2 linked regions of the Stegostoma tigrinum genome follow. The protein of the gene in region 1 interacts with the protein of each later gene in a pairwise test. Links are inferred from orthologs where the notes say so. Each region holds a gene or a part of one and is shown on either strand. Other genes may lie near its edges. The genes, in order: inactive ubiquitin carboxyl-terminal hydrolase 54-like and atxn1l.

Region 1 (16,649 bases):
TTAAAATCTCACAGGGTTAAATATATTAAATAGAGAAGCTGTTTTTCAGTTGCTGTTGGGTTACTAATTAGTAGTCACATTATCAATGTGATTGATAAAAGAATCAGTGGCAACTTTGAAGGTGCATAGTTCCTTGAAAGTGGAGTTGCAAGTAGTCAGGGTGGTGAAGGCGGCATTTGGCATGCTTGCCTTCACTGGGTAAAACACTGAGTAAAGGAGTTGGGACGTTATGTTGCAGTTGCATAGGACATTGGTGAGGCACTTTTGGAATACTGCGTGCAATTCTGGTCACCCTTCTTTTAGAAGAATGTTGTAAAACTTGACAGGGTACAGAGAAGATTTACAAGCATGTTGCCAGGACTGGAGGGTTTGAGTTCAGAAGGAGGTTGAATAGACTGGGCCTTTTTTCTTCCCCCTTGAGTGTTGGAGGCTGAGGGTGACCTTATAGAGGTTTATAAAATCACGAGGGGCATGGACAGAGTGAATAGCCAGGTCTATTGTCTTTGGTGGAGGAGTCCATAACTGGAGGGCATAGTTTTAAGGTGAGAGGACACCCAAAAGGTGACTTTTTCACACAGAGGATGGTGTGCACCTCAAACAAATTGTCAGAATAAGTGGAGGCAGGTACAATTACATCATTTAAAAGGTATCTGGATGGATATAAGATTTGAAAGAGTTTGAGAGGTATATGGACCAAATGCTGGCAAATGTGACCAGGTCAGATTGCAATATCTGGTAGGCACTGACAAGTTGGACCGAAGGGTCTGCTTGCATGCAGTATGAAGATATGACTCTATAGGTGTCTCTGTTCAAGTTGAGCAAAAATATGGGAACCATAGGAAAAGCTCTGAAGAAGTCGTATCAGACTTGAAATGTTAACTCTGTTACTCTCTCTACAAATGCTTCCAGGCCTGCTGAGATTCTCCAGCATTTTGATTTTATTTCTGATTTCCAACGTTTACTATTTTGCTTTTATTATAAATGGGAAATACTCTATATCATGTTTTGAATTCTGACTTTGGCATTGGAAATAGCAGCTGCAGGGGCCATCTAACCTTTTTTGCCTGACCATTTTTTTAAGTTCCTAGAACTTCTTATGCTGTCTCACAGCTACAGCTGCTGATACTTTGCACCCGGCTGTGAAACTGACATATGAATGTGGCAGGCCAATCTTTAGGTTTTTTTTGGAAGGTCTAACAAGAATTCACTCTCAACTCCCCCATCGCATATCTCATTAAATATCTCTTACCCTGGTATGTTTATTGTCTCACTCAGACTCTTCATCAGTCGCAGTCTATATGTGCCAGCCAGAGCATATCGCTGGCCATAAGTCGAGTATCGCATTTTAAAAAATATGACCGTGACTGCATTTCAAATATACATCATTGATCGTAAAATATTTTGTAATGTTCTATGGTTGTGAAAGGCACTATAAATAAAGTCTTTTGTTTTACTTCCGCAGACCAAATTTACAATGCATCAATCCATTATCGTTATCAAACTAACAACAGAGCAGTTATCTATATGGTCAGGGTTCATTCAGTTATTCATCTTGAAAACTGGAGTATCAGACCTTGGAATTTTTGACCGGTAGCTACACAAAATGATTCATTTATTTATTGAATCATTAAGGCAACTTGAATTCTGTTTAAGCAGTAACTTGTCATCTGCCAAAATCACACCATGTCAGTTTACTCCTCAGATATGTTGATTGTGTGAATGCAGACAACTGTCTATAACTCCAACTGATGAAAAGCTGCCATAATTCAAAATTAGATTAATTGGCCTAAACATTAATGTAAAAGAGCAATTGCAACGTAATGAGGATCTGTTTTGTGCTGAAAAATAAAGATTTGGTGACAGAGAATGGAAGAGAATTGGGGCCAGTTTTGTATTTTTTAAAGCAGAACTTTTAATTTACTCAATAATAAAGGCAAATATAGATTTAAGGATGCAGGAAATAAATAGCAACCAATGAATAAACGCTTATTACCTTAGCACAAAAATGTGTAGTTAAAACTGTGACTTCAATATGGTGAATTGTCTCATAGGAACACAATGAGACCTAATAACTGGTAATTTGATCAATGAAGTAATTCACTGTGTATTCTGCTCCTCACCCTCAGTAGATATTTGATGAGAATTATTTACAGAGTTTAAGAAGTGAAAAACCCAACTTCTTTTTAATTCATTCATGGGATGTGGGTGTCGCTGTCTGGACCAACATTTATTGCCCATTGCTAATTGGCCAGAGGGCAGTTAAGAGTCAATCACTTTGGAGTCACGTCAGCCAGATCAGAAAGGTGGGCTGGTTTCCCTTCCAAAAGGACATTAGTGAACCAGATAGAACGAAAATTGTATTTATATTGCACTTTTCAAGGTGTCAGAATGCTTCAAATTTCTCTGGAGCCAATAAGGTACTCCTGAAGCATGGTCGTTGTCGTAACGAAGGAAACACAGCAGCCAACCTGTAAGCAGCAAACTCTCACAAACAGCAATGATATGATCATATAAAATTATTTTTGTGATTTTGACTGAGGGAGAAATATTGGTCAGGATTCAAAGGATAACTCCCCTACTCATCTTTAAATTGTGTCATGGATTGGTATATCAACCTGGGAGATACATTAATGTGTTATTAGAAAGACAGAACCTTTAACATTACAGCACTCCCTCAGGTGAGATTTCTGTGGCAAGATACCTCTTGCCTCTGTAAACAAAGCCTGTCCAATATCTACAGGGCACAAGTCAGGAATGTGATGGTATCGTCTCCACTTGCCTGGATGAATGCAACTCCAATAAATCTCAAGAAGCTTGACATCATAGAGGACAAAGCAACTTGTTTGATTGGCACCCCGAACACTACCATAAATATTCAATCCTTCCATCTCCGATGCACAGTGACATTAGTGAGCGTGATATCTAAGAGAAACACTGAAGCCACCCTGGAGCTGCCCTCAGCACTAGCTTGTAAACCTAAACTCATACCATTCAGATAGTATGATGAAGATGCCATAGTCCTGGAGAACCATCGAGCTGCTCCTTCATGGATAGAGTCAACTGGTGGTGAGTTTAATCTGAGGATCACCATGCCTCAGGCGTGGCGTGTGGTTGAGAAGGTGGTATTTTCATGGTAACCTCATCCAGTACAGAAAACGAGCCCATGGTATTAGGGGCAGTCTACATCACAAATGAGCTCTCCAGCCAAATGTATTAACCAACCTCACTAAACGCAAGGCACATGGATATATGGAAAAACCACCATCTACAAGTTTGCTCTAAGCTACACAACCTTGACTTGGAACTATATAACATTACTTCAAAGTCATTGGGTAAAATTCTTGGAACTTCCTCTGTAACAGCATTGTGGATATACCCTCAAAGACTGCAGCAGTTCAACAAGGTCACTCACCATCACCTTCTCACAGGGCAGTTAAGAAAGAATAATAAATGTTGGCCTTGATAGTGATACCAGATCCCTTTAACGAATAATATAAATAAGTTATTACTTAAAATGTCAGTCTAGATTTAAGTGTACCAGTTTTAGGAGTTGGATTTCAACATACCACTTTCCGACTCAGGGTCAAGCTGATTTTTTTCTAAAACAGTCTGAATGTTGTTCATGTTAACAGAACTCCATTCTTCTGTCCAGTCTGTTGCTGCAGTTACAGAGCTTCCAGTACAAACCTCCTGCTGTGCTCAAATTTAAAAAAAAATTGAACGCAATCTAAAACAACCTAACTCTACCCACCCACCCATCCACCCTCACTGTATCCAAGCCATCCCAACCAATACACCGCCACCCAACCCAACATACTTCATTCCAAGTGGAAGGATCACCAGACCTGAAACATTTAATCTGATTTGTCTCCACAGGTGCTGACAGACCTGCCAAGCTTTTTCCAGCAACTTCTGTTTTTGTTTCAGATTTACAGCATCTGCAGTTATTTTGGTTTTTGTACTTCATCCCAACTAATCCACACTCTGCCTGCCCAACTGAATACAACCCACTTAACCGAATCAAATCCACACTAGTTGGCATGGTAGCTCAGTGGTTCGCACTACTGCCTCATAGTGCCTGGGACGAGGGTTCAATTCCACCCTCGGGTGACCCTCTATGTGGAGTCTGCACATTCTCCTTGTGTCTGCCTGGGTTTTCGCCAGTGTTTCGGTTTCCTTCCACAGTCCAAAGATGTGCAGTTTAGGTGGATTAACTGCTAAATAGCCTGTAGTGTCCAGGAGTGTGTGGATTAGACATGGGAATTGCAGGGTTACAGGTAAAGGGTCGGGGGTTGGGTTTGGGTAGGAAGCTGTTTGGAGGGGCAGTGTGGACTTGTTGGGCCAAATGGGCTGTTCCCACACTGCACACTTCTATGAAGTTCACACTCCCACTGGACCTGACACCCCTATCCAGCCCAACACAGTTCTTGCCTTGACATGTGTCACTTCGCTCTACATTTCTACTTGGTATCAATCTACTGAATGCACACAGCCCAACACATCAGACAAAATACCTCAAGCCAGCCCTACCAAACACAACTCAACCTAATGAATTGAATCAACCCAAGCTGACACCAGCTGATACCCTGCCCCACCCCACATAACATCATTAGATCCCTTGCTCCATCCTATCCAACTTACACCACTCTACAGATCATATTCCATGCACAGTCAACTAAACCAATACTTCCTCAACCAACCAAATATACCTCATTGTTTACAATCCTCTTCTGCAGACTGGACTCAACTGAGATAGGAGGAACTGCAGATGCTGGAGAATCTGAGATAACAAGGTGTATAGCTGGATGAACACAGCAGGCCAAGCAGCATCAGAGGAGCAGGAAGGCTGACGTTTCAGGTTGAGACCCTTCTCCAGAAATGTGGGAGGGGAAGGGGATTCTGAAATAAATAGGGAGAGAGGGGGAGATGGATTGAAGATGGATAAAGGAGAAGATAGATGGATTAAGGAGAAGATAGGTGGAGAGGAGACAAACAGGTCAAAGAGACAGGGATGGAGGCAGTAAAGGTTAGTGGAGGTGTGGAGTTGGGGGCGGAGGCAGTTAGCTCAGTCTAGGGGGGGATGGACAGTTCAAGGGGGCAGGATGAGGCTGGTAAGTAGGAGATGGGGGTGGGGAGCTGGTTCATCCACTTCACCAACACCTTCCACCCCAACCTTAAGTTGACCTGGACCATCTCTGATTCCTCTCTCTCCTTCCTAGACCTCTCTGTTTCCATCCTTGGCAACCACCTGGAAACCAATACGCATTTCAAGCCTACTGACTCCCACAGCTACCTAGGATACATCTCCGCCCACCCACCTTCCTGCATAAATGCCATCCCCTATTTCTAATTCCTTAGCCTCCGCTGCATCTGCTCCTGGGATGAAGTATTCCACTCCCGGACATCCCAGATGTCCTCATTTTTCCAGGACCACAACTTCCCCCCACAGTGGTCGAAGACGCACTTGACTGCATCTCCCGCAACTCATCCCTCACACTCTCGCCCCACAAAAACAACCAAAACAGGATCCCCCTCATCCTAAGGTACCACCCCACCAACCTCTCAATCCAGGGCATTATCCTCCGGCACTTCCACCATCTGCAGTCTGATACCACTACCAAAGACATTTTTCCCTCCCCACCCTTATCCTCTTTCTGGACTGACCACTCTCTCCGTGACTCCCTTGTCCGCTCCACACTCCCCACCAGTCCCACCACCCCTGGTACTTTTCCCTGCAACTGCAGGAAGTGCTACACCTCACCCCAATCCCAGGCCCCAAGGCAAACAGATGTTCACCTGCACATCGGCTAATATGGCATACCGTATCCGCTGTTCCTGAAATGGCCTCTTCGACATTGGGGAAAACAAGCGGAAGCTTGGGGACTGCTTTGTGGAACACCTACTCTTGTTTCGCAACAAACAACAGCACCTCCCAGTCACGAACCATTTCTACTCCCCCTCCCACTCCTCAGACGACATCCTGGGCTTCCTGCAGTGCCATAACAATGCCACCCGGAAGTTACAGGAATAGCACCTCATATTTCGCTTGGGAATCCTGCAGCCCAAGGGTATCAATGTGGATTTCACAAGCTTCAAAATCTCCCCTCCCTCGACCACATCCCCAAACCAGCCCAGCTCACCCCCACAACCCTAACCTGTTACCCCCGACCTCAAGACCCACCTGAATCTCCTACTGACTAGCCTCATCCTGCCTCCTTGACCTGTCCATCCTCCCTGGACTGACCTATCTCCTCCCTACCTCCCCAACTACACTCACCTTTACTGGCTCCATCCCCGCCTCTTTGACTTGTCTGTCTCCTCTCACCCTATCTTATCCTTTATCCATGTTCTCTCTATCTCCCCCTCTCTCATTTATTTCAGAATCCCCTTCCCTTCCCCCATTTCTGAAGAAGGGTCTAGGTCCAAAACGTCAGCCTTCCTGGTCATCTGATGCTGCTTGGCATGCTGTATTCGTCCAGCTCTACACCTTGTTATCTTGACTCAACTGAATTGTGCACCACATACGTCCAACACGTAGCTCTCACTCCACATCATTCAAACCAATTTACATTTTCCTACTGAACCTAAAATCATACCACTCAGCAAAACCTAAACCCATTAAACTGATCCTCCCATGCCAATCTACACAATGCTCCTGAACACACCCCCATCCAAGGTAAATCTAGAACCAAGGTACTCACCTCTCGCGAGAATTAGCGGTTTCCTACGACTTCCAGATCATCTCGCGTTATTTGATGATGGTGTGAGATGGTGACTCACCTCCAGAGGGACAGAGACGGAGACTGGGATTGAGGGAGTGAGACTGAGGCAGACAGAACGTCCGGCATTGAGATTCCCGCAGGCAGGCAGACAAGGATTGAGGGAGGGACACTCTCCGGCAGGGAGTGAGTGAAGGAAGGACTTTCTCCGGGAGGGAGGGAGTGAAGGAGGGACCCTCTTTCCGTGAGGGAGGGAGTGAGTGAGTGAAGGAGGGACTCTCTCCGGCAGGGAGGGAGTGAAGGAGGGACTCTGTCTCCGGGAGGGAGTGAGTGAGTGAGTGAGTGAAGGAGGGACTCTGTCTCCGGGAGGGAGTGAGTGAGTGAGTGAGTGAAGGAGGGACTCTGTCTCCGGGAGGGAGTGAGTGAGTGAGTGAGTGAAGGAGGGACTCTGTCTCCGGGAGGGAGTGAGTGAGTGAGTGAGTGAAGGAGGGACTCTGTCTCCGGGAGGGAGTGAGTGAGTGAGTGAGTGAAGGAGGGACTCTGTCTCCGGGAGGGAGTGAGTGAGTGAGTGAGTGAAGGAGGGACTCTGTCTCCGGGAGGGAGTGAGTGAGTGAAGGAGGGACTCTGTCTCCGGGAGGGAGTGAGTGAGTGAGTGAAGGAGGGACTCTGTCTCCGGGAGGGAGTGAGTGAGTGAGTGAAGGAGGGACTCTGTCTCCGGGAGGGAGTGAGTGAGTGAGTGAAGGAGGGACTCTGTCTCCGGGAGGGAGTGAGTGAGTGAAGGAGGGACTCTCTCTCCGGGAGGGAGTGAGTGAGTGAAGGAGGGACTCTCTCTCCGGCAGGTAGGGAGGGAGGGAAGGAGGGACTCTCTCTCCGGCAGGTAGGGAGGGAGGGAAGGAGGGACTCTCTCTCCGGCAGGTAGGGAGGGAGTGAAGGAGGGACCCTCTTTCCGGGAGGGAGGGAGTGAGGGAGGGAGTGAAGGAGGGACCCTCTTTCCGGGAGGGAGTGAGGGAGACTCTCCGGGAGTGAGTGGGGGGGCGGGCGGCTGAGAAGGACCGTGCAGAGGGCGAAAGCGCGGGCAGAGACAGTGAGTGAGTGACCTATCGGCGGATGAACTGCCACGAGGTAGGACATTTCACTTCAGATTGAAATTTTCTTTCCGGATCGCCCTCTAGCAGTACCCCGCCGCCGGGGTGGGGGTGGGGGTGGGGGCGGGAGCGCAAGCCGAATGACCGTTAACGACCGTCGCGTGGAGCTCTGACCCTTGGCCGTGGGATTGACCCCTGACCTCGGCTGACTGGCTTTTAGAGCATTACAAAAGTTGGCAGTCTTTCATTCCCTTCGTAGAATTTGTCTGTCTTTTTGCCTTACGTGATGTTGTTGCAGGGTTTCCACAAAGATGTTCAGCGGCAACATATGGTAAATGAAAATAAGAGTGTATATTCTATGTTGTATCGATGATGTTAGCTCTCCTGCAAATCCAGTCACCGCATGCCTTTCACTCACCCGTCACTTGTGAAGCAATAGATTACAACAATGCCCTTCTTAGTTACTGGTCTGACTCCAGTGGGATCATATTTGACGCGGCAATGATATATTGTTGGTCTGCAGCAATTTGGGTCTGTTCTTGATGGTCAGGGAGATGTCAACAACTTGGTTGGAATGTGAATTACTGTCTAATGTATTTCCTCACTGAACCTGCATTTGAGGAAGCAGTTGGCTTTTTCCGCTTTGTGAGTTTGGTTTGAAGCAACCAGACAGGACCCGTAAAACTCCCTGATGTGGCAACTTTAAATCCCATTCCAGTTTTGGTCATCAGTCTGAAGTGCTGTGGAAGAATGAAACATTGGTTTTATTCCTCTGTTCACATCTTTCCTTCTCTTGAATTTAGTATTTTGAAGTGACCATTCTCTTTGCGAACCTAGTCCACTTCTAAGTCATCCTCAACACGCCCATTCCAAGCATTTTTTTTGTACCTATAGGAAATTCAACACCTATGTTTTTTTTTCTTCCTACCATCCAGAACTCCCATACCATTTGGGAGGTACAGTCATTAACTTATTCTCTTTTTAATTTAGAATATTCCTTTTAACTGTTCAGAATGCAGTCTCTATTAAGTGATGAAATCAAAGCCAGACTGATTACTTTGTGGATGTCTCTGTGTAGTGTGATCCAGCACTTGTGCCTGCCCATCGTATAAATTTGGGGGAAATAGAAAATAATTTTTCGCTCAGGCACTTGATAGTTTTCCAGACTCAATATTGAATTTAGCAACTCAGATGATAACCACTGCCTGTGTTCTTTTTGGGGTAACAATTTGGTTGTATTTCTGCCAAAGCTATTTTAAATTTATCTGTACACATTCTTTACTTGGTCCATTACTCTCTTCTTTTGCTTTGTCCCGCCATCCATTTTATTATTTAATCTTAGATAATAAAATGTGAGGCTGGATGAACACAGCAGGCCAAGCAGCATCTCAGGAGCACAAAAGCTGACGTTTCGGGCCTAGACCCTTCATCAGAGAGGGGGATGGGGGGAGGGAACTGGAATAAATAGGGAGAGAGGGGGAGGCGGACCGAAGATGGAGAGCAAAGAAGATAGGTGGAGAGGGTGTAGGTGGGGAGGTAGGGAGGGGATAGGTCAGTCCAGGGAAGACGGACAGGTCAAGGAGGTGGGATGAGGTTAGTAGGTAGCTGGGGGTGCGGCTGGGGGTGGGAGGAAGGGATGGGTGAGAGGAAGAACCGGTTAGGGAGGCAGAGACAGGTTGGACTGGTTTTGGGATGCAGTGGGTGGGGGGGAAGAGCTGGGCTGGTTGTGTGGTGCAGTGGGGGGAGGGGATGAACTGGGCTGGTTTAGGGATGCAGTGGGGGAAGGGGAGATTTTGAAACTGGTGAAGTCCACATTGATACCATATGGCTGCAGGGTTCCCAGGCGGAATATGAGTTGCTGTTCCTGCCTGTCTCTGCCTCCCTAACCGGTTCTTCCTCTCACCCATCCCTTCCTCCCACCCCCAGCCGCACCCCCAGCTACCTACTAACCTCATCCCACCTCCTTGACCTGTCCGTCTTCCCTGGACTGACCTATCCCCTCCCTACCTCCCCACCTACACCCTCTCCACCTATCTTCTTTGCTCTCCATCTTCGGTCCGCCTCCCCCTCTCTCCCTATTTATTCCAGTTCCCTCCCCCCATCCCCCTCTCTGATGAAGGGTCTAGGCCCGAAACGTCAGCTTTTGTGCTCCTGAGATGCTGCTTGGCCTGCTGTGTTCATCCAGCCTCACATTTTATTATCTTGGAATCTCCAGCATCTGCAGTTCCCATTATCTCTGATATTATTTAATCTTACCTGCAATCCAACCTTGCATTTATTTCTCTGTCTTCCCTGTGCCTGTTTCTGTACTTGGTTAATATCTCATTACATCTCCAGTTCTAGAAGAAGGTTGAGAGGTGACTTAATTGAGACATATAAAATAATCAGAGGGTTAGATAGGGTGGATAGGGAGAGCCTTTTTCCTAGGATGGTGACGGCGAGCACGAGGGGGCATAGCTTTAAATTGAGGGGTGAAAGATATAAGACAGATGTCAGAGGTAGTTTCTTTGCTCAGAGAGTAGTAAGGGAATGGAACGCTTTGCCTGCAACGGTAGTAGATTCGCCGACTTTAGGTACATTTAAGTCGTCATTGGATAAGCATATGGACGTACATGGAATAGTGTAGGTTAGATGGGCTTGAGATCGGTATGACAGGTCGGCACAACATCGAGGGCCGAAGGGCCTGTACTGTGCTGTAATGTTCCATGTCTATGTTCTATGAAGTTACTGTCCTGAAATGAGAGCTGGGCAGCTTTCTCTGCAGATGCCTGGCTTTTCAGCATTTTATTCTTTATTTCAGATTTTCAGCTTCTGTAGTATTTGCCTTTCTTGTTCATAAATATGTAAATCTCCATTTTAAAAAATAGCTTTAAAATTTTTATAGAAGTTTTGTTTCATGTCATCCACTAGTGACTACTCCTTGTTTTGGACTAATAATCATCAGAAACTCCAGAATGTAACAGGATTTGGGAGTACTAGGTGTGGAGTCTAAAAATGCTGAGATTTTAATGGTGTTTTTGTTGAAACAAGTCAAAATATGATTACCTTGAAGACCAGTTGATCTATTGCATTACATGGATGGAAGACAAAATGTAGTCTTGGGGTGAAGTTGATTTAGAGGCCAGGGAACAGTTGGGATTAGAGTTAGGCATCTGTAATTCAGTTTATGCTTTGGGCCTGTGTTTTGTCCTTATTCTTATAATGCTTTCATTTTATATTAAATATTGGCATGATGTAGGAAGCACAGAATTGTTTGGATCATAGCAGTTGCTTGCAAGGCAGGCCAAAGAGCCTGAAGCTGTGGTGGAGGCGAAGAAGTGAAAAGCTGAGATATTGTAGCAATTTTGACAAAACTTTGAGAGGCGTGTATTTTTGAGAATTATATAGAAATGTGGATTATGTAACTTCTTGGGAGTCAAGCGACTTCAGAGCTGAGCTACTGCATAATGACTATTTTGTACTATGATCCTGACTTTTAAATCTGGTCAGTGCTAATGTTCATGTTTTGAATTCATTGATAACTTGCGTACCACGTGCTTTTGTTTTGAAAGTGTACCACGTATTTGCTCCAAATATAAAATCAATAATACCAGGGTACCATCTGATGCTTCAAGGAATGACTGTGGAAACACGCTAAGGAATTCAAATCATACTTTGGAGAGACTTAGAAATCCTTGTTGAAATTATTTGCTGTGATTCTGCTTTAATTTTTCATCAGAATAATCTTATAATGGATGTTACATACTTTGGATTGCTTACAAATTTGCATGATGTAAAAGATTTTAAATGGCAGCTTATTACAACGGTGATATTGTATCTTTTGGATATTGCTGCAGAGTATTACACCTTCATATAGCTTTTTACAAGTTTTATTTCAAAGATATTCTGTGGTTAATACTTGATACTTTGCATCTTAAGCTAACATTCCAACAAAACCCAAGCAAGTTTCTATATTTGTGAAATGTCTCAGAATCAGCAAGGAAATTTAGCACCAGTTAACTCATTTTTCTTTGTGTCTAAGGTTAGACAGGATGATGGAGAACTGTGTTGCTCATGCTGGTGGTGTCATGAATTCTGTTAACTTCATTCTGACAATCTTAATGCATGACCCAGAGAAGAATATTGCCCTTGTCATGCTTGTCAATGCTGAAAGAGATTTTGAGAAATGATTGTTGAATTTTTGCTCTAAATTTATAAAATTCACTCTGAAATTGCAGGCCCCCAATATTGATATAACTGCAATTAATAATAGCTGTAAGTTGCTCAGGTTGATACTGTAACAAATCAATATATTTTTAATTCTCAATTTATCCAAATGGTTTTAGGAATTATGTTCCTTATGTCATTGGGCTTTAGTGGATTGCATCTTGAGGCCAAGTCAGCAGATGTAATCTAGTTTTGCTGCAGAACCTGAAAGTACAAGTGTGAGGAAGGAATAAATGTGATAAAGTCACATAACGATACTAAAATGAAGATTCTTTTCACTTGTGCGTACTGAAAGGCTTGTTTGGAGACAAAGATAAAGAAAAGCTTTTTGACTTTTACAATAATATTATGGTTAACTAATTTGCTTTACGTAACAACGAAAAATTCAGGTAGTTAACACGTTTTTCTTTAATACTTTATAATCTAGCGAGTTTTGAGAAGATTTGTAGCTCAGGTTGAGGTTCTGGATGTGAGTTTGCTTGCTGAGCTGGAAGGTTAGTTTTCAGACGTTTCGTCACCATTCTAGGTAACATCATCAGTGAGCCTCCGACGAAGCGCTGGTGTAATGTCCCGCTTTCTATTTATCTGGTTAGGTTTCCTTGGGTTGGTGATGTCATTTCCTGTTCTTTTTCTCAGGGGATGGTAGATTGATTTGGAGTCAATGTGTTTGTTGATGGAATTCCGGTTGGAATGCCATGCTTCTAGGAATTCTCGTGCATGTCTCTGTTTGGCTTGTCCTAGGATGGATGTGTTGTCCCAATCAAAGTGGTGTCCTTCCTTATCTGTATGTAAGGATACGAGTGATAGTGGGTCATGTCGTTCTGTGGCTAGTTGATGTTCATGTATCCTGGTGGCTAGCTTCCTGCCAGTTTGTCCAATGCAGTGTTTGTCACAGTTCTTGCAAGGTATTTTGTAGATGACGTTCATTTTATTTGTTGTCTGTATAGGGTCTTTTAAGTTCATTAGCTGCTGCTGCTCTCCTACATCAAAGACATTTCCGAAATGACTGCCAGACTACTCAGACCCCTTGGCATCAGGGTAGCCCACAAACCCACCAACACACTAAAACAGCAGCTAATGAACTTAAAAGACCCTATACAGACAACAAATAAAACGAACGTCATCTACAAAATACCTTGCAAGAACTGTGACAAACACTGCATTGGACAAACTGGCAGGAAGCTAGCCACCAGGATACATGAACATCAACTAGCCACAGAACGACATGACCCACTATTACTCGTATCCTTACATACAGATAAGGAAGGACACCACTTTGATTGGGACAACACATCCATCCTAGGACAAGCCAAACACAGACATGCACGAGAATTCCTAGAAGCATGGCATTCCAACCGGAATTCCATCAACAAACACATTGACTTGGAGCCAATCTACCATCCCCTGAGAAAAAGAACAGGAAATGACATCACCAACCCAAGGAAACCTAACCAGATAAATAGAAAGCAGGACATAACACCAGCGCTTCGTCGGAGGCTCACTGATGTTACCTCGAATGGTGACGAAACGTCTGAAAACTAACCTTCCAGCTCAGCGAGCAAACTCACATCCAGAACTTTATCATCTTGAACTATTTCACACTGTTTATGAATTTTGAAGGGTGGGCTTTGCATATAGTAGTAGGATTAACACTGGTGGCAGGAAATGCAGTTGTTCGTGTCACAAAAATGAGAGGTGTCTCACGTGTTCTTCCTGTGCTGAATTGGTAAATGTGAACTTGAAGAGTAATGAGTTTTTTGTTGCTACTGTTTATTGTTTAAACTTTATAAATATAAACTACAGCAATTTATATTTGTAACGCGCCAACTAAGCTAATTGCAGTGAATTGCTGTTCGGTTTACAGTGCCAATAATTATTTGATTTGTTTTTTTAAGACGTATGTGCGACACTTCTTCTAAGAGATGTCTTTTGTCCTGTTCCTCTTCCAGAGGATTGTTTTCATGTTGGTGCCCAAACGTCTCCTTTGGACAGGCACTTGGTAGACAGCTTTGAGTTATCCCTGGACGGTGGGATCAGGGTTTCTCACAGACCCACAAGGCTTTTAGCTTTGCGTTCAGTTACTTGAGAAGGTTCCTGCTGGGTGTTAAAAACTTGAGTTCTCTATTGTGTGAAATGAAGTCTTAGATGAGAGACTTCCCCTTAAAAATCGAAAAGGGTAGATTGTGTCTTTTTGGTGACTTTTACTGGACTAGAGAGAGACGGAACATAGAAATCATAACATTTGCTGAATGGCCTTTGTCAAGTGTTACAGACCAGACCAAACTAGACCAAATCACTCAAAAATATTTCAAGAAGGTAGACCAGACCATATTTTGTTCTTAGTTTAAAGGCAAGTGCAAAGCATCTCAGATGCAATACGACTGGTCAAACTACTTGCCATTAAACAAAACACTGTTTATTTAAACACTGTAGTTAGAATACAGCCAAAGAGGGGAATTTAGAATAACTTAAGAGTGGCAACTTCACAGAATAATAGATACAGTAAATTACTAATTAACTGCTCAAATATAGTAACATCCAAAAACACACACCTTCGCAAAAAGGAAGATTCAGACACAGATTCTGAATACAGTTCTCCAATCCAGGAGGGAAAAAATAAACATGAAGAGAAAATTGAGTATGTAGCAGCCAGGTGACAATCACTGAAGCTTCCAACTCTGTTAGGATGCCAAGAGCTTCTGATGTTACTGACAAAACCAAAAGTCAGAAATCTGCATCTGAGAAAGCTGACCGCATGTATTCAGGCTGTTCTTAATATAAAAAAAATCCTGAGGCATCCCAAGCGGTTTACTGAAGGTCTTCAGTAATGAGTTCGTTACCTCTGCCTTACAACCTCTCTCTAAATGGTTATTTTATCCTTCTTTTGAAGTGACAGCATTGTCACACAAGGGTATGTTTATGGAATGCTGTCTATTTTGAACAGTTGACGATTAGTAGTTCAATAATACATTATCTTGGTAAGTATGCCAATAGATAAATTTAGGCCAATTTTGTTTGTGTTTTAACTGTGTTGTAAGAAGCAAGTGTGTTTTGATTAAAGCTTAGTGTGGATCAATTAAATCATATCTGAAGCACAGTACCATTGAAAAAATACATATATAAAACTTAAGGTGTAGGTTATCTCCGTAATATACTGTGAGGGTCAGGTCTGGTCCCTAACACATGAGAAGAAAGCCTGAGAAACACTGAAGGCACATTGTGGTGTGAAGTAATGTGTGCAACAGAATTAGATGTCAGGTGACTATTATTTTACAGTTTCTCTGTACAGTAAAAGTAGTAAAATATTGCAATAAAAAGTTCTCATAGAATCTCAGCTCAAAATTTGATGCTTCACAATTTGAAGAAGTATGGTCAGAATTCTGCAAGGTGAAAAGAAATTTGTTTTAAATGTAATCTGTTTGCAATTTGTTTTAAAATTTGGAGTGGACCTTTTGAGTGAGATGGTCTTTTTTTCAAAGTTTGCAATTTATGGAGGGTATTAGGTGAAACCATCTGTAGTCTAGTTAGCTTAATACTTTAATTGTTGACGTGAGTCAAGTGCTACTGTTGAAGATTGAACAGATTGTTTATTTATAATAGTTGAATACAAGTCAGAGGATGCTGTTAGCAAACATAGCCTACTTGAATATATGTCTTCAATGCTGTCTCCTCTTCTGGTCACTGAGAAACAATTGACATGAAGGAATTAGTGCTGACTTGAACCAGAGAAATGATCTCTCGTGTTAGGGAATATGAATAACAACAAATTGCATTTATAGATAAATTCACGGCGTATGTATGTACATAAATATGCAAGTTGTTGATACATTGCCTTTAACATAGTAAAACCATGGGGTTTCGCAGGAGCACAGCATGTGAAGAGGACACCCAATGGAGAAATAATCCTGCCACTCTGTGTTAACACAATGTTGTTACAATTACAGAGCTCTTCCTGAGGATTTCATTTCTTGGTTGATGTCCTATAACACACTATCTCACCAATGCACTGAAAGGCCTTTGGCAACCATGGATTTTGTGTTGGTCTGTGGTATGCTTGGTCATGTTCTGCAGCGGTTTATCATGCCTTCTGCAGATGGCTGACCAGAAATTTCCTCCGCTGTTAACTGTCTGCTACTTGCATATGCTGAAAGATTTCCAAGTTGGTCGTCAACTTACCTGGGGCTCCGTTAGGAGTGTACCTTTATTGGCTACCGTTAGGAGTGTACCTTGGCTAATAGGTTTTGGGAAAGGACTTGAATATGAAGCATCCAACTCAAAAGCAGGGAGGCTATCACTGTCACAAAACCTCCTGGTGTGTACTTCAAAGCTGAAAAAATAGCTAATGTAACATCCCTGTTTAAGAAGGGCACGATGGTGTGGAGGTGCCGGTGTTAGACTTTGCTAGACAAAGTCAGAAGTCACATGACACCAGGTTGTAGTCCAGCAGGTTTATTTGGAATTACAAGCTTTAGGGTGGCAGTCCTTTCTTAGCTTTAGTAAGAGACAGCAGGGTACGCAGATCCAGAGTTTATCGGCAGAGTCAATGTCAGAGTCAACGTCATTGCTGTCATGACAATCTGGCAGAGCCATGGGAATATACAAGAGGTGACATCTCAGGTCACACTTTGAATTTTAGGTG
Region 2 (16,390 bases), on another chromosome or scaffold:
TCAAAATCGAACTGGTGCACTCTCTTCAGTAACACTCCCTAACTACTAGTCAACCAAGTGACAAGAATCCACTTGCCAAACAATCAGCACATTCTGCTCAGATGGTACGAATGTCATTTCCTCTTTGCTATTCTTTTATATTGTCCTGATGATTGTAAGATAATAAACTCCGATAAAATCTCTTTGTCCAGCCATATTCAGCTTCTGTGCTTCCAAATGATTATCCCTTCCTTCTGCAGTGTTCGATGGAGATTAGGAATACAGTACATACATAACTATCAATGTTAATTCTTAGAAATGCAATTCAAATTCTTTACATGATTCTAATCTATGCTTTTTATTACCTTAGATGGCAGATGAAAACCTGCTACGTCAATCATTGACTCTGGGTGTCTTAAAGTGGTACTCACTTCAACCTAACCAAATAAAGCAAAAACAAGTTGGATTTTCAAATACTGATTATGTATATTTTACTGGCAAGTACATCTACCTAACGTTTCTGTTGCACAAGTAAAACATTGGACACAAGACACAAATTTTTAACCAATGAGAATATCACCAATGACATTGTGATATCAACACAGTACCTTTCTCACCTGTGATCATTTGATACAAAGTATACAAGAAACTTAAATCCATATTTCTGTTTCACACCTTCAATTTTGGGCTTAATGTTAATTTTTAAAAATGTGTTAACAGAATGTGGGTATCACTGGCCAGGACAGCTTTTAATGCCCTTCCCTAATTTCCCAGGGGGCAGTTAACAGTCAAGCCAATTACTGTGGGTTTGGAGTCACATGCAGACTAGATCTGGTGCGGATAGCAGATTTCCTTTGGTAAAGGCTTTTAAGAACCAGGTGGGATTTCTGACAATTAACAACAGCCATTATTTGTCTTCCAGATTTCTACTGACTTCAAATGGTACCCTCCACTTTGGCAGGATTTGAATCAGAATCCCCAGAATATTACCTAGGTCTCTAGATTAACACTCCAGCAATGGCTGAAGGAGAATTTTACGTGTTTAAATTGATTGTGCATGCCTGTATATTAGATTTCCACTTGAAATATTGAGCAAAATTTATTAAATGAACTGGTCTTTTTCTGCTCATTGTGTTCATATAGGATATCATTTTTAGAATCTACAAATCATTTGCTACATTCAAATATGGGCAACAAAGCTTAGCATTCTGCCAAATCTATTTGTGCTACCAGTACTTGCTTCTCAAAACAAGTATCAACAGTACATAATGAAACAGTTTTATATTTATAATCTCAGTTAATGGTAATACTGAATAAGTCAGATCCCAAAGTGAAACTTGGCTTGACAGATCATAAGTTAATTCTCTATAGTCAGCTGCTTTGGTGGCTAGTTAAGTTTATTCACACAAGGCTACAGGAATGCAAAGAACGCAAGATTATCACATACAGAAAAACAAAAGACAAAGCTATATATGACAGTTGAGAAAGATCTTTAACATAAACAAAAGAAATTTCAACCTGTTTCCCCAGGAATATATGTGTTTTGTGGATGCTCAAATCCTGGAGAAATATCACGCTTTACCAAACTCTATATTCTTACTTAACAGACTCTGTCTAGTTCTTCTTGGACTGCTGAGATAACCTTACAACTTAAGAGTTGTGTTGCCAGTTCTGACAATTTGAAAACTTCTGTAGAAACTCTCACAGTTTAGAGGCACCCCAAAACTAAAACACTTCTGCTAGGATGACTGTTCTCCTGAATTGAAAACTTGATTGTTCAGCGAAGAAACTTAAAGTGAATCTCTGATTCTTCTTCTAAACTAAAGTCAAAATCTATAATTCGTGGCCATGGATCTGTATTCACTGTATATGGTGAATTTAGCAGTAAAAATACTATGTAACTTAACAGCAGAAGTAATCTGTTAGGCACCTACTTGAATCACATGTTTTCTTGGAATTGATGTATTTGGTCATCTTTCTAAACAACTTTGATTTTTTTTAAGGAAGAGAGTCTTCACAGAACTGAAGCCATAAGCCATTTGCCTCTACTTTAAAAATCCAAATTCCAAATATGAAGGTATTTTATGCATCTTTATTGCAGAAGTCATTTAAATGTACTACAGTACACAGCTCTACATTTTCTGTAATATAGCAAAGTTTCTGCTGTCACTGTCCAAGATTTTTTACTGTATAGAAAGAAATATAGACAGCGAATCAGCAAATAATTTTCATGTGATAAATTACTTACATTTTGTGCAGGTTCGTTCTTTAAGTGGCCAATTCCCACAAATTCAGCTTCGAGCTGATAGGTTAGTGCCAGAACCTTAATATCAGTTGCTGAGAGACTAGGGTAGTCTCCTGTCTTTTTACAAAACTCAGTTACTGTGAAGAAATGTTTAAAAATAATATTTGAATCTTATGAATGAACTTGTATTTGTACAACACCTTTCAAAAATTTAGGACTGCCCATAGATTAGTTTTTAAGTGTATGTCAGCAAGTGTACCATTTGATCTCTACACAGCAAGGTTCCACAAACAGCAACGAGACTGATTTGTCTCTTTTGCTGACTTCGATGCTCACAACCCTGGGAGAACTCCCGGTCTTTCACCAAACAGAAATCTGGGATTTTTAAGTTCCATTAAACTAGAGGTTCTTGAAGTGTGTCTGTGAGCAGCCCCCAGATGATCTGCAAAATGAGTCTAAAATGTAAGTCGCTGACATGCAACCCTTGGGCTGAGTCCATGTAAGAGATCAGGTCAAAATTCTGATTTCCATGTAACCAGACTGTTTCCCACATGTACAACATGGCATTAGTGAAAGATGTGTGAGTTCAGTTTCAAAAGCAAAGTCTATACTACTGTTACAACATGTAACTGAGAGATCAATTTTGCAACAATGGGGTTGAACATAAATAAAATGAACAAGCCGAATGTGGAGTCCTGATTAAGGCTGATACTTTACAGCTTGGAGTCAGCTATTACCTCATTGGAATTTCAAAGGTAGCAGCATTCTGCCTGTTAATTCTGATGGATTGTTTAGTGCTGTCTGGCAATGGTGAGCAGGCTTGCCCAGTGGATAGTCTGTGGGGCCTTTGCCTTCATAAGTACTTCTCCACTCCACCCACTGGGATACCGGCCTATAGCGTTACGTGAAGCCACCCTCCTAGCAACAGATTTTCCAGGCTATTGTTTATCAGACTGATTCTAGGTTAGTGGGATTACCCTATGGGGAGAGATTGAGGAAGTTTCTGTAGATTAGGTTAGATTCCCTGAAGTGTGGAAACAGGCCCTTCGACCCTTGGAGCATTCCACCCAGACCCATCCCCCTATAACCCACACAATCCTGAACACTACGGGCAATTTAGCATGGCCGATCCACCTAGCCTGCACATCTTTGGACTGTGGTAGGAAACTGGAGCACCCAGAGGAAGCCCAAGAAGACACGGGGAGAACGTGCAAACTCTGCACAGACAGTTACCCGAGGCTGGAATCGAACCCGGGTCCCTGGCGCTGTGAGGCGGCAGTGCTAACCACTGAGCCACCAAGCCGTCCTTGGGTCTATATTGTCTAGGGTCTAGGACAAATTGAAGTGAATTCGCTGAAATGTACAAAATTTTTAGATGTCCCAAATGGGTCTGGGTAAACATAAGGATGCTTCCCCTGCCTACAGGGATGGGTCTCAGAATAAGGGATAAGCTATCTAGGACAAAGATGAGGAAGAATTAGAAGATTCCCTTTGGAATTATATGACCCAAGGAGCTGTCGAGGCTCAGTCACTGAGCCTGTCCAACACAGAAATTGATAGATTTCCTTAAATTAAAGTTGTCAAGGAATATGGAGATTGTTCCTAGCCAGCTTCGTGCACTATGTGAGCTCCAGTGAATGGCATAGCAGACTCGAGAGGTCAATTGGCCTACTTCAGCTCCTATTTAACAATGTGTTTACTGGTTATTTTGTTCTCTGTTTTTTAAGATTGATCAGTTTCCATCTAGGTGAAAAAATCTCCAAATTCTAGCACCATCTGCACCAACAAATCCCTGAAGCCCTTCAATGTGCGTTCAGTCTCAATGACAAAGGGAGCAGACTAAGATCTGTAGTTAACTGAGGCACGTATTAGATGTTTGGTCTGCAACACAGTATTTAGTTTGGTTTTGGTTCCATTACCAATTAATAATCCAAGTTCCAGTAATGATTCAGTGAGAAGAGGTTAGAGTCATTTGTTGGGTTTTGTAAGGTCTCACAATGTCTCTACAACAGTATGGGGTTAGTACCTAATGATAAGTAGTAGAGACAAGTACCCCAACAACTTCTCAAGGGAACAATTTTCTTTTCAGAATGGCCACAGAAGAAGGGTGACTGGACACAAAACATTAACTCTACTTTCCCTCCACAGATGCTGCAGGTCCTGCTGAGGTATTCCAGCAATTTCTTTCAATTAAATGAGAACAACTTGCATTACATAATGCAAGAGTTTTCCTTCCTTCACTATCAAAATCAATTCTGTTAAAATAAAATCAAACAAGCAAAGGCCTTAACATGAGTTTTATAGAAGAAATGAAGGTTTTATCATTTATTTTAACACAATATATCCCCCAACTTTGGTGGGTGGGGTGAGGAGTGATCAAAAAAACTCACCATGTCGAATATATTCAGGGAATGGTTCTTTAAAATGGAGTTGATATGGTAAAACTGCTAGTCTTCGCTTAGTTTCTTTGTCTCGTATTTCATTCACAACTTCCTTTAACGTGTAGATGGTTTTTCCAAATTCCTAAAGTCAATAAGATTAACAGGTATAATGCAAAGAATAGCAATGTTGTTGATTTTGTTTTACAAATCAAACATTGCTCATTTGGTTAACACCTAGCTCATGTTGAAAGGAAACATTAAATATCTCATTTATTTTGCCAAATGGTTCCATCAAAAGCAGAAAGCCTAGAATGCATCTTAAAATACCCTTTGTTGCGGATGAGTGCAGGCAACATTAAGACGGACAGCTGAATACAGACTGACATTGGGGATCGCATGGAACTCTGCAAAAAGAAGGGTTTTCTCAATGTCCATCTCTTCTCCTTCAACTATTATTCAACACAGTTTCACCACTTTTGCTATTTGTGCTTCCTTGCTCGAAACAAATTAAAGTCCACATTTGCCTACATGGATTATTTCAAAGTTAGACATGGAACATGGTTAAATGCTTTACAATTGAAGCAGTTACAATTTCTTGCCAAGATATTTCTACTTAGCATTTTTTAAGAACATATTTGCTTCTTGGCACCTCACCATCCATTCGTCTCTTTCTTCTATCTTAGTTTTGTTTTACTGAATTTTATGGTTTATCAAATCTGACATTTATTGACTCTCTTGACATGTGCCTTTTAAATTCAAGTTCTGATGAAAGTATTCAACTTGAAATATTAACTCTGTTCTTTTCTACATAGACCCTCCCAGACTTGTTTAGTATTTACTGCGTTTTTTTGTTAGAATGTCTTTTTCCATTGTCCTTTCTTACAGGTAGAGAATGAATAAATTACAAGTACAGTCTTAACACATGCAAATGAACAAACAGTACTTGCATTCACACATTTACTCCCAATTTATGTCCCGTTTCACATTAGATAACTTCAATAAATCACAATATTCAAATACATTTGGAAATTATGCAGAATTAATGCATTGCTATTTTCTCACTTGAAATTGAGCTATTACTTCATATTTTTTAAAAGTCTTTTTTTAAAATTCACTCATGGGATATGGGTGTCACTGGCTAGGCTAGCATTTATTGCTTATCGCCTGGATATGCTGGCAGTGAGCTGCTTTCTTGAACCACTGCAATCCATAGTGTGTAGCAACATTCACTGTGCCAGGAGGTCTGGATTCAAGTCCAACCTCCTACAGAGGTATGATAATAGCATCTTTAAACAGGTTGATTCAACAATGTCTACCTTGAGGGACAATTCTACTTTGTAAACACCTGACTGTTCAATAACCTGATGACTAAATATATTTTACAATGCCTAGAGACAGAATCTAGGATGTACTAATTTTCAGTGCATGAGTGAAGATGATACAAACTGCCTCAGTGTTTACAAGCAAAGGGGTAAAGAAAAGTTTCATCTTACAGCCTGGGTGACAACATTAAGGTTGTCATGTGTCTCATCTTAACCTCAAAACTTAATTTGACAGAGGTCTAACTTACAAAATACAAGTTAGTTTTCTTTCTGCTGTTTCATGTTTGATGATGTGAATCATAGAATCAATAGATTTATTATCGTGGCAAAAGTTGAATGCTCTGTTTCACTTATCTGCATAGATCCAGACATCCAGCCTGAATGTGACCAAAGGCTGCAGCCACATTAGCCAATGAGCAAGGGTGTGTGGACGAACTGGGATCAATTCTGATCCTCAGCTGAATCATTTGCCAAAACTTGGTGTCAGGGCCACCCAGATGAAAAGCTACCATTCATGAGGTGAAATTAGCCTGGCAAAAATGAACTGTACATCAGGTGAAGTCAGCACAATGTGAAGATAAAATCTAAAACTTAAATGGAAATTTGTATTTCAAACAAAATGAGGTGATGTGAAGTCAAGCTAGAATAAAAATAAACTGTCAATAACTTCATCTGGAACTACAAAATAATATCTGGCAGTAGAAGATATAAAGTAAATATCTTTTTTGACAACCTCTTTCACCTGATACCAGAATACTTCGTGGCAATTTTCAGCAATGACTAATCAGTTATTATGTGGAGTTGCCAGCATTGGACTAGGGTGGACAAGGTCAAAAATCACAAGATACCAGGTTATAGTCCAACAAGTTTACCTGAAGATATAAGCTTTCGGAGTCTTGCTCCTTCTTCAGGTGTCAGTAAGAGCTGGCATCAAACACAGAATTTATAAGCAAAAGATCAAAAGGTCATAGGACTGACACAAACGTATTGAACAAACCTCAGATTGAAGATTTATCAATTAGAAAGGATTAATATGCAAATTCCAGAATTTCTTTCAAGTCACTGCCCTGAGATAGCTAAAGGTTTTATCAGTATATAAAGGTGACATCTCAGGTCAAACAATGCATTTTAGGTGTGAGGCTTTGCTTAGAATCTGGCTGTGCATCAACTTGGAGTCAGACTGTTTTATTTCCAAAGTAGGAATTTGTAAATGCCACATTGACTGATTACAAATTGTGTGCTTTTTCAACAAAATAGACTGTATCTGCAAATGCAAAATCACCACAAAATTTTGTGTGTGTGTGTTTGTTTTTGTGGGGGGGGGGGGAGAGTGGGGGAAGGGGGAGAGGGAGGGAGGGGGAGAGAGAGAGAGAGAGAGATAGGTAGAGACAATGATAATAAATTAATCAGTAATTTGAGATCCATAATGGATTGTCGCCTATATCTGACACCAGGCTGATCATTTATGAAACTCAGCAAAGTGTACAAGTAAAAGGACCAAGTTACGCTCATATACAACTCCAGTCGTTGGGAAATCGTCACCTGTTTCGAGGGCTGTCAGAAAGAAAGTTTTTGTTTCTCAAATCCTTTTTTTGGCCTTTATACTCGCTTGCCCACGTTTTCATAATATTAACGGACACGTGTTTAGACCAGAATTGCTACAGTGAATGTTTCGGAACGTTTACATTGTAACTATGTGGGGAGGTTGCAAAAGATGGGAAAAGACTGAGTTCAGTCAGTACTAGTCCCACACCCAAGGCCCGAGAACAAATACAAAACAAAACCGCAGATTTGTGCTACCCTGTCCACAAAAGCCCATAGACACGGATCACCGACCTGGAGTGGCGCGTTCTTTAAGAAAGCCCCAGCATCCGCCACAACATGCTCCACCGTACACACCGCCATCTTCCCTTCTAACACTGCCCAATCAACTACAGCATTACTCAAACTATACTCATCAGTAAACTACCTGTTCATTGGTCAAAGCAACAAGCCTGGGCAACACAGCAGCGTAACATTGGTTTATTGTTGTTGGCGCATGTATTTATTTTAAATCGGCAAAGCTGACCACGTTGAAGGAAAGGATAACAAGGTGTAGAGCTGCATGAAAACAATAGGCCGAGAAACAGGAAGATTGACGTTTCGGGCTTAGATGTTCATCCAGCTCTACATCTTCTTATCTCAGATTCTCCAGCATCTGCAGTTCCTAGTACCTCATGTCGAAGGAAACTTTGCTAATCTACGTTTCCTTTTCACTTGACAAAAGAACATGAACAGTTTCCAAAATGATTTATAAATAGTTTTGGTGCCAAGGAAATTTAATTGAAAATGCAAAATATTTCTTTGTTTAATTGATCGGAATTATAAATATACCAAAATCTTCAATGCTTCTTCTGAAAGTATTTTGACAGCACATTTATTTATTTAAATCGGCATTGAACCCAGACCAAATATTCCAATACCTAGTCATCTTTCATCTCTAGGAAAACGAATTTGTGATTCGTGAAATAAAACACAGAAAAGGAAAAACTTAAATCTGACAGCATGTCTGGAGAGAGAATTGAAATTACAGGTTGCTCGTCTTTCATTGAAATTGGGTAAAAATTGAGATGTAGTAGTAAAAAAGTGAAACGAGGCGGTGGAGAAAAGTACAAAGGCAGAATTCTGTGTAAGTGGAAAGTGGAAAATTTAATGGCAAAACGTTTCACGGTGCGAGGCCAGTTAAGGGAGTGGTAATGCGAATATTAGAATGAAATAAAAACAAGTATATCAGTACTTCTGCTGGAGAACAGTTGGTGTATTAAGAATTTAAAAGGACAGGTATCGCAACTGCTGCCCAAAAATGCTACAGGAAGGGTAGAGGATGTTGGACTGAGGAGTGAACAATGCATTGCAGGGGAAATGGTTTATTTGAAATGTTTTAAGTGAAGCAAACAAAAAATTCTAGGTGGCATCTGGCTTTTTGGCCATCTCTTTGGTTGCCCACAATTTGCTACATTTCTTACTTTTTTCAGTTCTGACAGATCATTGGACTAATAGTGAAGCAAACGAAATCTTTGCTTCACTATTTACTGAGCACCTTTTGCGGCACTGGTCTAATTCTACAAATAATTCTTAAATGAAAAAAAAGTGGATGCTGGAAATTTGAATTACAAAACAAACTGCTGGAGAAACTCAGCGGGTCAGGTAGCATCTGTGGGGAGGGAGCAAATGACTGCAGATACTGGAATCTGTACTAAAAAAAACTGCTGGAGATCACAGCGTGTCAGACAGCATTCATGTAGAGAGAAAGAGCCAGCTAACGTTTGGATGACTTCATCAGAACTGAAGCGGCGTGAAGGGAGCAAAACATTTACGATATAGTTGGTGGTGATGTAGAGTGCTGGTGCAGAAAGGATGTAGATAGTTCAGATTGAGTAATTCGAATGGGAGAATGGCAGAACAACGGTGTGTCTAACTGCCAGACTTGAAAGAGCAGGCAGTCCCACTGGGGTGGGCGGAGGGGAGACAGGGAGGACAGGATATTAGAGAATGTTACATGTAAAGCGAAAATAAAGTGAAGGAATGGGAGAGTGTAACAAGTAAAGCCAAAAGAACGGGTTGAAATGGGAATTGATTCACAATTTGAAGGTGTTGAACTCAAGATTAAATCCGGACACTATAAAGTACTTAATCTGTAGATGGGATGTTGTTCCTCCAGTTTGCGCTGTGATTCACCGGAACACTGCAGCAAGCCGAAGGAAACAGGTTAACCCGAAGTTCTGAAAAAGAGTAATTTCGGACTGTTAACTCTGTTCGTCTACCTCTCCAGGCTGCCAGGCCTGCTGAGTTTCTCCAACACTTTCTGTTTTTATTTGCGATGGGGTGAGTTCCCCTCCACCAGTTAAAGGCTCGGTAACAGTCTGTCGTTCCCGAGCAGCCCTCCCGTCTAGAGGGGGCGCTGTCAGTGGAAGACCGCGGCCACTGGCCTCGGATCGGACGCTTTGAGTGACGCCATCAGCCTGCGCTGTGGTGTCTGTCGCTGTAAAGTTTTTTTTGCTGTTGAGTTTCTAATCTTCAGGTGAGAGGAAATGTAAGACTTGCCGGAAAGGGAAAAGCCCACGAATTCGCGGAAACTGCTGGAATCAGGATGAAGTTTGCAGGTAAAAGAAAGATCAACTAAAGAATGGGATCTCTCAGCCTATTTTGCTGAAGTTTAGCAACCTGTAGGAAGAATCTAGTTTCCTGCTGGGCCTGACAGTGGTTTTACTTTTAAATTTGAGAAATGCTGCTTTTTTAGTTAAGGTGAGACGATAGTGGATGGTCATTCTTTTAGTACACTGCATAAATAAATTGGTTTGAGTGTTGTGATTTTTCTCTGAATGGTACTGACAATATCATCATCATTTCATGGACGTCACCCGCAATGATCTCCTGATTACTTTGTTTCTGGGGACGCTGGACGGGGTAGTTTTGTGTTATAAAAGCCAGGCGGGTACCATGCTTGTTTTCTGGTTTGTGCTAAACTGAACTGTTTCTAGGAGGGCACCATCGTTGGCCTCAGAACATGGAGAGAAAATTTAATCTGCCTTTTTGACAATGCATGCATATTGATAACTTCTCAGGACTTGAATTTGATGAAAAGCTAACTGACGCTTACAGCTTAGCCTAACATATTTGGTCACTTGTACCAGTGGACAGCTGAAGTGAGTCGAGTTCTGTGCACCATAACTATGTCTTTAAAAACATGACATTTGCAGAACAGGAGTGAACCAGGTGCCTTATAGTCTTAAAGTGGAGTAGTTGGAAAGAATAACTCAGATTAGGAAGCTACAGCATTTTTCTTGATTTCATCATGTGTAATGCAGCACATTTCAATCTCTTAGGGAACAATAAAATTCCAGAGCAATAACTTCCTATCATTCCCATCCATTATCTCTGCAGTCTGTCAGGGATATACCCTTGGTTATCCTCCAATTTCTCATCTACGTGCTACAACTTGATGGCTTCATCTGAAAACATACTTTAGATATCATATAAATATTAACAATATTCAGCACTGCCCTTCCTGATCCCTTCACTCTGTTTAATTTGACACAGTGCTTTTCCAACATCCGTTACCGTTGGAATCTTCTACCAACTCCATCTCTCTCGATAGCAAGTATCTTATTAACAACCTTACTGTTATATTTTAAACCCCAAGATAAGTTTCTGACTACATATATGTTTCATCAACAAGACTACATACTTTCACCTTTTTAACATCACCTATCTCTACCCCTGCACCAGTTAATCTATTGTTCGGATGTTCATTCTTTGCTTTGTTACCTTTACAGTTATTTATTCCAATTATCACCCATCTAACATCCCATGTTCTACCCTCACCAAAAATCTGGGCGTATTTCCTAACAGTGTCTCATGTTCACACATCCTGATCCAGAAACATTTAATTTTACAACTCTAATCCTTGTTTTAATTATCATTATAACACTCACTCTCCATTCTTATTTGTCAGCTGTGGCTTATCTAGCAGTGCACTCACCTCTGAATCACAGTGTTCTGGGCTCCAGTGCCATTCCAGTGCTTGAACGTGAAAATCTATGCTGACAATCCAGTGCAATACTGAAGGAGCATTGCACTGTTGGAGATGCTTACTTTCAGATGAGATGTTAAACCGAATCCCCCATTTGCTGCTTTGGTGAATGTGAAAGATCCCATGAACCTATTTCAAAGACATGCAGGAGAGTTTTCTCTGTTGTCGTGGTTAATAGTTATCACTGTCAAATTAATGGAAAGCAGGTTATTTGGTGATTATCAAATTGGTGTTTGTGGCAGTTTCAGTGCATACTGATTGTCATGTTTCCTACGTTACAAACATGATTACATTTTTAAAAAAAGTACTTAATTGTCTGTCAAATGCTTTGAAACATCCCACTAAAGGTGCCGTACAGATGCATATCTTTCTTTTCCATCCTTATAACTTCTAACAACCTTCTTAAGATCTCCTGCACATCCCTGATTTTAACCGCTTCACCACTGGTGGCCTTTGCTTTCAGTTGCCCAGGCCCTAGATTCTGGCATATTGCTTCTTGATCAGTAGGACAATCAATGGTTCTGGGTTAAGGACAGGAAAGTGCATGTAAGAAATGTTGAATCAACCATGAGCCAATTGAGTTGCAGAGCAGGTTTCACATGCCAAATGGCCTACTTCTGAACATATTTCTTATGTTCATGGTAACCATGTAACCATTGCTGATTGCCATGGAACTAAATCTGGTTCATGAGCGACCTCCCACGAATGGTAGGAATTCTGGGTCCTTACCTGGTCTGGCCTGGATGTAGTTCCTGACCCACCGTAATGTGGTTGACTTCTAAGTGTCCTTTGAAATGACGTAGCAAGCCACACAATTAGGAATGGGTAACAAATGCCAGCAATGCCTACATTCCATGTAAGGGGAAAAAAAAACTTTTCCTTCTCTCTCCATCTATTGAATACTCTAAGATACTCTTGAAAACGTACTCTTCATCCATTCTTAAATTTCTTTATGTGACTGATTATCCAATTTTGTTTAATAGTATTGCTGTGTATCTCAGTGTGTTTTACTGCCTTTATGTGCTCTTTAAAGACAAACTCCTTTTGTTCCATTAGGTAGAAAATATGATGCTGACAAAGACATTTTAGCCATGTGCCAATCTTTCACATGAGTGCTCCTAATCCCATTTGATTGTTCCATTCCCATAGCCTTTTATTATCCTCACTTACATCCAAAAGTAGACCAAACCTAATCCTTTAAGTCAACACAGTTTCTACTTTAAATGCAAACTCTGGTACATTGCATAAACTTAGAATACAAAAGAAAAATATCTGTGGCCCTTTTCTACATCTCTGCATTTAATCCTGTATTTATGATTTCTCATTCCAGATTCCCAGTGTGGAGCTGGAGGAACGCAGCAGGCCAGAATCTTCAGAAATTTCTGAAGAAGGGTCCCGACCCGGAACGTCAACTTTCCTGCTCCGCTGATGCTGCCTGGCCTGCGGTGTTCCTCCAGTTCCACACTGTGTTATCTCTGACTCCAGCATCTGCAGTTTCTACTAACTCAGATTTGCAGTGTAGTTTTATCTATTTCATTTTATATTGGTTCTTGGGATGTGGATGTTGGCAGCAAGGCTGCAATTTCTCGACTGTCCATGGTTGTTGAGAAGATTAAGTATCAGTCATGTTGTATCGGACTGGAACTATTGCAGATCAGTTCAGGGTGACTGATAGCTTTCTTGAAGGACTGTCAACCCTTCTCTGTTTGATTTTATTTAAATATCTCCATCAAACCTCTACAGTTTCTCTATTCTGATGAAAGCAGGTCCAATATTTCAAGCTTTTCTGCATTTTATTTTCCATCAAGGCAACAGTTCCCTCATGAGCCAGTATTGTACTCTTCTTGTTGCCTTCTTTTCCTGTCTTCATTAGGTTAACTTGTCTGTAATTAACCAAGTTTATGTCTAGCCCTGTTGAAATGGGGCTCAGTTGCTGTTCGGTCCTCTGCAACACATCCACTCACCAAAGGACTCTTCTGTCAGTTCTTCCAATTTCCACAGAAACTCTGAATGTATCCAGTGTCATGTAAGCTGAGTGATTTGTATATGTTTTATTGTCATTTGTTTTATTTAGATTTTGAAGTAGTAGTACTTCACATTGTAAAGAACTGTCATCTGAAATTTAGTGAGCTCTTAGTTTGAAATGATCTCTTTCCTCTTCAATCATTCTGGTCCTTTTTGTGCCATTAATTTAATGACATTACTGACTGAAGGAAAAAATGAGAAAAAATTTGGGGTCTGAGTTTGTGAAGCAGTTTAATAATTTATGACTAACTTGTCACTATTTCTCGAGCCATGCTCTCTTTCAAAACAAAAATTAGTATGAGAGAGCAAATTCGTGGAATGTTAATTTAAATTTGTTTGCAATGGGAGAGCCTTACAGTCAGACAGCGTAAACATTGAAGAGCATTAGCTTGCTTTCAGTTGCAAGGATCAGGGATTGATGTTTTTGTGCTTAGGGGAAAAATGCATAGCTCATAAAGCTAAGAAACTAGACTTTTTGGAGACTTGGTGGAACTGCCTTTGAGATACTGAAAAATCATATAATCCCTACAGTGTGGATAGAGGCTATCAAGTCTGCACCAACCCTCTGAAGAGTGTCCCACTCAGAGTCAACTCCCCGTCCCATAATCCTGCATGTACCATGGCCAAGCCAACACATCCCTGGACACAGTGGGACAACTTAGCATGACCAGTCCACCTAACCTGCACATCTTTGGACTGTGGGAGGAAACCGTAGCATCCACCTGTGGAAACCTGTGCACACATGGAGACAATGCGCAAACTCCATCCAAACCAAGGAGGCCATCAATAAACATGTAGAATTAGACCCTATATATACACCACTGTGAAGAAAAACCAGAAATGAGGTAATCAACTCCAAAAGCCTCGAGTTTAAATACCAGGCGGAAAAGTACAACAGCAGGTCATCGGAGGCTGCACTGAAGATGTTACCCAGCACGATAATGAAACATCTGCAAACTAATGAACCAGCTCGGCAAGTGAACCAATCACAGCATCCATGCATAGTCACCCAAGGCTGGAAACAAACCTTGGTCCCTGGCACTGTGAGGCAGCAGTGCTAACTACTGTGCCACTGTGCTGCCCAGAATTTGCGTCTAATTGTTGCATGTAGTGCATAGAAGTGATAAGGAATTTTAAAAAATCATTAATTACATTGATTAATGAGAGCATAAAAGCTTAAAGCAGTTAATGAAGGTAAAGTGGAATTATACTAGATATAACTGTATATGGATTGAGGAGTCATTATTTAAAGGGATAGGATAAGAGAGAGAATATAGTCTTGGGGACCCTCAATTTGCAGACACAGATTAGACCATAGTATATGTAGAGATTCAGGACAAATTAAATGTGATACACATCTACCGTGATACTAACCTTTAAAGAAATCCCTTATGATAGACCCAATGGTAGACCTTGAAAATGTCCAAAACAAAGACAGTACATTCATGAAGTATTCAGGATCACACTTCCAACAGGCTGTGATGTGGGAAGCAAGTTAGCCACTAGAATTGCCTGCTAGACGACGTTACTGTTGATCTGAATTAAACTAGACCTTCTATGGAATTGCATGGTTGGAGAGTTAATGGCAGCTTCTGTAAGTTTGTGTAATACTGAAGTAGGACTACTCGGATCGTCATTTGAACGGTTTCCGATCACTCAAATGTTGGGATATAAATAAAAATTAGCACATTTCCACAGAAAAAGAAAGATGGATTGGAATTGTTGGCAAAATATCTTTATCATAAATGATATGTATCCAACCTTATTCTTTCTTTTCCTAATAAGACCATAAGACATGAGTAGAAATAACTGCTCTGACATTCAGTGAGACTGTGGCTTTTCCCTATAACCCTCGATTCTCTTTCTGATTAGAAATCTGCCTATCTTGGCCTTGAATATACTTAATAAACCAGTCCTCTGAAGTAAAGAATTTCACAGATTCATTACCAACTAAGAGAAGAAATTGTTCCTCATCTCTCAAATGTGCAACCACTTACACTGAAATTATGCCCTCTGGCCCTAGATTCTCACACAAGAGGAAACAACTTCTCTACATTGGCCCTGCCAATTCCCCTAAGAATATTATATGTTTCAAAAAGGTCATCTGTCATTCTTTTAAGTTCCAATTAGTTAAGGCCAAATGTATTCAACTCCACTCATAAAACAGGTCCCCCCCCATACCTGGTATCAGCCTAGCGAACTTCCTCTAGACTGCTTCTGATGCCAGTAATCTGTCCTCCGATAAGGGACCAAAAGGTATTTACAGTATTCACGCTATGGTCTGATTAGTGCATTATATAGATTTATCTTTTCTACTTTTATACTCCATTCCCTTTGAAATAAAGGTCAATGTTCTATTTGTCTTCCTAATTACCCACCAAACTTTTGATGTAAGCTTTTTCTGATTCAAGCATGAGGAGTCCCAAATCCCTCTGTTCTGTAGCTTTCTCTACTTAATTAATATTTAGCTCCATTTCTCAGCCTGCCAAAGTGCATAATCTTACAAATTCTCCCTTTTCCTAACTCTGTTCTATTAGTTAGCCAATCCTGTATCTATGCTGATATATTACATTCAACACTATATGCTATTATCTTATTAAGTATCTTTTTCCATATTTCTAAATGCTCTGCTTTACATCCTTTATAATAGACTCTAACATTTTCCCATAACAGACGTTAAACTAACTGGCCCATAGTTACCTGTTTTCTCGCCCCCACTTTTTAAACAAAAGTGCTACATTGGGAGTTTCCAAACCTTTGGAACCTTTCCAGAATCAAAGGATTCTTTGAATATTACTGTCAGCGCATCCACTCCGTGTAACCACTTTCTTTAATATCCTAGGATGCATCCCCTCAGGTCCTATTC

Evidence for each region.
Region 2: the proteins of inactive ubiquitin carboxyl-terminal hydrolase 54-like (region 1) and atxn1l interact in binary tests that used the Homo sapiens proteins (3 or more experiments, as listed by UniProt). The link is inferred for Stegostoma tigrinum from reciprocal best matches to the Homo sapiens genes USP54 and ATXN1L.

What each region holds. Positions count from the first base shown.
Region 1 is NC_081390.1:26,504,534-26,521,182, reverse strand, and holds the start of inactive ubiquitin carboxyl-terminal hydrolase 54-like, read left to right. Parts: upstream 1-7,706; 5' UTR 7,707-7,841; intron 7,842-8,118; exon of another isoform or gene 8,119-8,135; intron 8,136-16,649.
Region 2 is NC_081369.1:40,875,872-40,892,261, reverse strand, and holds the start of atxn1l (ataxin-1-like), read left to right. Parts: upstream 1-9,914; 5' UTR 9,915-10,069; intron 10,070-16,390. Other genes in the region: RNA-binding protein NOB1, read right to left, coding at 345-416, 2,228-2,361, 4,615-4,747, 7,764-7,832. UniProt on the Homo sapiens protein: Chromatin-binding factor that repress Notch signaling in the absence of Notch intracellular domain by acting as a CBF1 corepressor. Binds to the HEY promoter and might assist, along with NCOR2, RBPJ-mediated repression.